2 linked regions of the Rattus norvegicus genome follow. The protein of the gene in region 1 interacts with the protein of each later gene in a biochemical or structural test. Links are inferred from orthologs where the notes say so. Each region holds a gene or a part of one and is shown on either strand. Other genes may lie near its edges.

Evidence for each region. The genes of interacting proteins can lie anywhere in the genome.
Region 2: of the proteins of Parp1 (region 1) and H1f5, one has a biochemical effect on the other in vitro, tested with the Homo sapiens proteins (2 studies listed by BioGRID). The link is inferred for Rattus norvegicus from reciprocal best matches to the Homo sapiens genes PARP1 and H1-5.

What each region holds. Positions count from the first base shown.
Region 1 is NC_086031.1:94,866,972-94,870,622, reverse strand, and holds part of Parp1 (poly [ADP-ribose] polymerase 1), read right to left. Parts: intron 3,068-3,651; coding exon 2,969-3,067; intron 2,272-2,968; coding exon 2,119-2,271; intron 1,391-2,118; coding exon 1,263-1,390; intron 724-1,262; coding exon 662-723; intron 203-661; coding exon 88-202; intron 1-87. UniProt on the Homo sapiens protein: Poly-ADP-ribosyltransferase that mediates poly-ADP-ribosylation of proteins and plays a key role in DNA repair.
Region 2 is NC_086035.1:47,420,842-47,423,492, reverse strand, and holds H1f5 (histone H1.5), read right to left. Parts: upstream 1,619-2,651; 5' UTR 1,562-1,618; coding exon 893-1,561; 3' UTR 588-892; downstream 1-587. UniProt on the Homo sapiens protein: Histone H1 protein binds to linker DNA between nucleosomes forming the macromolecular structure known as the chromatin fiber. Histones H1 are necessary for the condensation of nucleosome chains into higher-order structured fibers.

The DNA of each region.
Region 1 (3,651 bases):
GCAAGTTGTCACTGTCCCCATAGAAGCTGCCCTGGGCAGTAAGAGCACACGCACAGCTCCATGCACAGCCCGGCCATGAAAGGATACTCGTTATACAGCAGGCAGGTGTCATTAACACCAGACGGAATCCCTGTTCCCAGCGGAACCTCTACACCATCCAGGGTGATGCTGGCCGAAGGGTCAGGGGCGGTTTTGCCCAAACCTGTAAGGTGGAAGGCTCAAGTGTTAGGTATAACAGGGGGTGTGGAACAGGAGGTGTGGAAATGTCCTGGGTATACAACATCTATTTGATACAGGATGTGTGTGTTCACTTTAAACATCCTTTAGATGCAAACACAGACACTGTAAAGAAAGGTTCCAAGGCAACATTCTAAACCAGTAAAGTTACATTGGTCCAGCTGAGGTTATACCCTAGGCATTGACCATCATATGCTACCCATAATTCCAGGTGCACCAGAGGTCCTCTGGGCCCTGATATCACTGCTCAAAATCTGAAGTGACCTGTGCCCTGCTTAGTTCATGGTACCCCACAGAACTCGCATGGCATTATGACACAAGGACTGAGGCAGTTGTTTCTAAATGAACCTCCTGTAGCGAGAGTGCAGCTGCTGGAGGAAAGGCGCCCCCACCCGAACCTGCCATGTCAGGCTGGGGACAGTACCTTTGACACTGTGCTTGCCCTTGGGTAACTTGCTGATGTGAGAAGCATGCTTGAGTTCGTACCTATTCAAAAGAGGACAGTCTCAGAAGAGCCTCTGGTCACTGGGCTCCCAACCAACACTCCCTCAGCATCTTTACTGGCATGGAAACTAAGCGCCCACAGAATTCTGTCCACCCTTACCCTGGCACCTCCCTCCCCAGCTCCTGACTCTTCTCAAGTAGGGAGTCTGGAACTGCTGCCACTGCTGGGGGGTTATTTCCAAAGAAGGGCGGGCGCGTCTGGAGTTGTGGCCAGCTGCTTGGCGGTTCCCGTCTAGTCTACCCTATGGCTTGCTTCACCATCTCCTTCTGGTCACAGCTCACCAGATGGAGGTTGCCAGAGGATGGAGGAATCAGATCTTCTCTTTGAACAATGATTTCCCTGCCTCCCTGTTCCGCAGAAGGACTGTGCTGCCAGGTCTCGGCCTCCGCATTTCTGCCTTTGGTTTCATAGCTTCTCTGAATCTCCCTCGATCCCGAGCTGCTGTCTACTGCACTTACAAGTCAAAAAGATTCTCCTTCTAGTCTACTCTACCCACCCTGCTCAGAGTCCGGACACTCACATGTTTCCAAGGGCAACTTCTCCCAACAGTATTAAGCCAATCGGGTCTCCCTGAGACGTGTGGCAGTAGTTCGCACTTTTGGACACCATATCAGCAAAGTAGATTCCTTTCCCAAACATGTAGCCTGTCTGGAGAGTTGGAAGAGGGACAGCGGTAAACCTTCCAGTGGTGAATCCCCACAGCTGCTGCTCAGCTAAGCTCCACAGCCAGCACCTCCCAAGAGGAAGGGATAGCTCTTTCTCATCAAAGGCCAGTGCTTACAGGCAGGCTGTGTGAAGTCATGCAACAGCCAAGGATGCCACTTTCTCTTTACCAGGAAGTCTCATAAGGCTAATGTGAGTGAGTTAATAGTCACTACTCACACTAAGCCAGGCACATATATACATCCAGCAAGCACTGATGTCACCATCCAGCCACACACCAGTACCTAGCACAAGAGCTATAGTCACCAAGCCCCTTCCTTTTCTTTACTCTCTACAGTGAGTGAGGGGCTGGGATGGCATCTCAGAGGGCCTGTTCAGTCCCTTCTGTAACCCAGCAGGGGACATCATCTATCCCTTGTCGTCCTTTTTTTTTTTTTTTTCGGAGCTGGGGACAGAACCCAGGGCCTTGCGCTTGCTAGGCAAGCACTCTACCACTGAGCTAAATCCCCAACCCCTTATTTTTTTTTTTTTTTTTTTAAATGGTGGAAATCTGAGAGCTCATGGATGCTGCCAGCTGAGGAAAGGCAGAGGCATGCCTGGGTCCAAAGCCTGTTCCCTTCTGACAGGGCCCGCTGCAGGCTGGACTCTCAGGGGGAGATCACTGCAGGAACAAGTAAGTACTTCTGTACTTCCCATAGACGGCAGCCACCTACCACAGGTGCTTCAGGTGGGGCTATCCGCAGACCCTGTGACAGGATGCCTGCGAAGTTGGTGGTCCTGGACCCGTGCCACAGCAGTCTCCGGTTGTGAAGCTGCCTGAAGGGCTTGTAGCGTTGGCTCTCTCCCTCTCGCTCTATCTTAAAGATCTGGGCAGAAAGTTGGCAAAAGGGAGACAGATATTGTTACTCAGGTTCCCTGAAGGGATAAGTGGACTTGGGAGTGTCCGGTACTGACCACTGTCACAAGAGCTAGGACGGTTTAGCTCTGCCACATTATCACAGATGGGGATGGGATGACCCAATGCAAGTGTCCCAAGGCTCCATTTACAGACATCGGGGGACACACCTAAGGAACCTTTTCTCCGAGACTGTTCTCACTATGTAGACCGGGCTAACCTGGAACTAATTGGTCTGTTAAGCCTCCCGAGTGCTGGAATTAGAGATGTGTACCACATCTGGCCCGGGGAACTTTATCATGAACTTCTTTCTGGTAATCATATTTTCTGACAAATCTGGGGCACTTTCAATACCCAGAAAAAGCCAAGGCCAACTGTACACCACCACTTACTTTCCTGCACAACAAACATGTCACCTCTGCTTACTAATAGTACAGCTGGGCAGCTGTGGCACAAGCCTTTAATCCCAAGCACTCAGGAGGCAGAGAAGGCAGCTCTCCTTTCCAGGCTCGCCTGCTGTAAACAGCGAGCTTCAAAACAGCCAGGAGTACATAGAGATCCTGTCTCAAAAACAAAGCAAAACAAAGCAAATGGCTCATGCTTTCTGAGCCAGGAAAGAAGGGGCTAGGGAGACCTGGCAGGACGGAAAAGGGGAAGAGGAATCTTACGTCTATCACTTCCAGGTCATAGGCATTGTGCGTGGTCGCGTGAGTGTTCTTCACATACTTCCTGATGACCTCAGCCTCTTCAGAATCTCTGTCAACCACCTGGAGAACAGACATCTGGAATTAGGGCAGGGAGACACCCAGAGAGGAAGAATACTGACATACTAACCTAGAAGTCTCCAGGGGCAGTTCATACTGCCCCAGGACTGACCCTGTAGGCCGAGGCCAGGGCCCCATGAGCCTGAATATTTACTTATCCATTCAGACTGCTAGAGGAGAAGCTCAAAGTTCTTGCCTCATGCTAGACTATGAGTTAAGCTGGAAACAGAGGTTCACCATTACTGAGGTGGAACAAGGGAACTATTTTGACCAGGAGTCTAGGAGACCAGGATGTCACAAGGTGACATCATACAATTTTCTTTTCCCTATCCCAGTCCTAAGGATGGACCAAGGGGCCTTTCACATGCCTAACCACCAACTATCCCCCAGCCCCACCTCAGGGTTTTGGGGACAGTCTCTTGTCTATGTGTACCACAGCTGGTTCAGTGCATGCCCAACTAACCAGTGATGTCATCGTAGCCATGCGCGGGAGGCTATAGATGTTCTGTACATTTTCTTGCTTTAAGTTTGGAAAACCTAAGAATTCTGATTATCTGTGCTCTCAACTACAAGCTTTGTAAGAGTTA
Region 2 (2,651 bases), on another chromosome or scaffold:
ACACCATCTTATCTTTAACACTTAAAACTGATCTAATGTTAAACAAATACAGTGAAAGTCCTATGTAGGGGAGTGTCACACCCATTACTACATTAACAAACCTTTAACACAAAAGGACCGTTCATTAAGGGACTTCAGTGTCTGGGTGCTTCCAATGGAAGAACTGAGCAAAAAGGCTCCAAAAAAAGCGTAAATGACTTGAGAGTGGAAATTTGTACACAGCCTTTGGAAAAGATGCCCGTGTTGGGGGGCCTGCTTCAGGACCTTGCAGCTTTGGCTCCACCTCTTGCTGTTCTGCATACTTGTCCCTCGCCTTCTACGAGCCCTTCCAGTCGGACCGAGACTTCCACCAGCTCAAGCTCTGTTAAGGAAACTCTAAAGGAGGGGGAGGGAAGATGGTCTCCGCACTGGCTTCATTTTAAACAGACTATGGCGATGAATACCGCGTTATCTGTAAACGTCTTCTAATGACTGTCCAATCAAGTTTAAAGTCAGTAATAAACCAGAGTACCATTGGTTTAGGTAATACGACACAGCCAATGAGTTATTTTTCGCGCGAGGTCTCACTTAATCCTAAGTGAATGTTGGCTACTAACAACGCTTTTATTCCACACTGGGCAGTTATGGCCCACGTACAGGTCCCAAGTGACCATAGTGGGCCGCGAGACTACCAACAGCCAACATAACCAATTTATCCATAGGTAAGACTAAACCGTCTTACCTTGTAGATTGAGCACAGGGCCCAAATCAGGGCGGGAAGGTGTTCCAGTTGGTTGGCCCAATTGGGAGATAACAACCCGGGAGAGCTTAAAGTGTGTACAGCTACATTCACAGAGTTCTCTGGGTGGCTCTGAAAAGAGCCTTTGGGGCTTTGCTGCTGTTACAAGCAAGCTTACTTCTTCTTGGAAACAGCCTTCTTTACCTTGGCAGCCTTAGGCTTAGCTGCCTTGGGCTTGGTAACTTTAGGCTTGGACGCCTTAGATTTCACCGCCTTGGGCCTTGCCGGGCTCTTAGTCGCCTTTTTAGGCTTGGCAGCAGCCTTGGCCTTCTTAGGGCTCTTGGTAACTTTCTTTACTCCAGCCGCTGCAGGCTTCTTTGCTTTCTTTGGAGTTTTCTTCACGGTCTTCTTGGCCCCGGCAGTCTTCTTGGGCTTCTTCGGGGTGGCACCTGTAGGTTTCTTGGCCTTGGCAGCCCCAGTCTTCTTAGCCTTGGGCTTGGCTTCGCCGGAAGCCACCTTTTTGTTAAGCTTGAAGGAACCAGAGGCGCCAGTACCTTTTGTTTGCACCAGGGTACCTTTGCTCACCAAACTCTTGAGCCCAAGCTTGATGCGGCTGTTGTTCTTCTCCACATCGTAGCCACCAGCAGCCAATGCCTTCTTCAGAGCAGGCAGGGACACGCCGCCGCGCTCTTTAGAGGCAGAAACAGCCTTAGTTATGAGCTCAGATACCGGGGGGCCAGTGGCCTTGCGCTTTGCCGCGCCAGCTTTTTTTGTCTTCTTCTTGGCGGGAGACTTCTCTACAGGAGCGGGAGCCGTAGTCTCGGCGGGAGCAGTTTCAGACATGGCGAGAATAAAATCTGCAAGAAAAGGAAACCTAACGCGAAGAGCAAATTTTGCAATGCTCCTTTGCTCAGGCTCCGGGTTTATATAAGCCGGTGCTGGGCTGTGATTGGTGGAACGTCCAATCCACCGCCCTCTGGCCGCAGCGACTCAAGGTTACAATCCCAAATTGTGTTTGTTAGTCACCAAATTTTTACTTACTGCCGAAAATAATGCCACAGAAATTGGCAGTTTGGAGTTCCAAAGGAGAACAGCCTTCGGATTCACGTACCTGGTTGTGCTTTTTTGAATCCCACGCAACTGACCAAAGGTATTTTTAAAAATCCCTCCAGTGTTTACTAAAAATCCACCGAGCAGAGAGCATCCTGAGAGTTACTTGCATGTTTCCGTAAACTTATACGAAGGATGCAAGGAACATTACTTAAGAGGATTTGTACAAAGATACCGCCTTTAATTTTTTCAAGAGTAAAACTAATAGTTCTTTTGGTTTGGGCAAAAACGTTGTTTGTATCTGTAGCAAATAACACAGGCCTAGGGGCTACAAACTGAAATTAACCACTTTAAATATCTCTCTTTAAAATAGTTCAAACTCCTAGTACTTTGTACAGGGTTGATATCTTTAATGGAAAATGCAATATTTCTAGTGTGAGAGTGACTTCTTTGAAGTAGAGAGATTGAAAATCATTATATTTAGGAGCTGTAGAGACAGCCTAGCATTTAAGACCACTTGCTACTCTTGGAGATTTGGGTTTAGTTTCCAACACCCACAGGACAGCTTGCAACTGATTATAACTCCAGTCCCAGGGGATTTCAGGCTTCTGCTAGTATTAGACATATAAGTGATGCACATATATACATGTAGGCAAACCCTCATGTACATAAATAATTAAAACATATCTCAAACACATAAAAAGGAATCACTAACTTCAGATGCCAATCACCTTAATTCTAAGTAAAAATAAATTAGATATGGTTCTGATCAATGGGCTTTCACAATTTCCTAGGGATATTTGGAGACAGAAAATACTTACCTTAAAAAATATTTTACCTAAGAAAAATTCTAAAACTTTCAGAAGAATTTTCAAGGAGATTC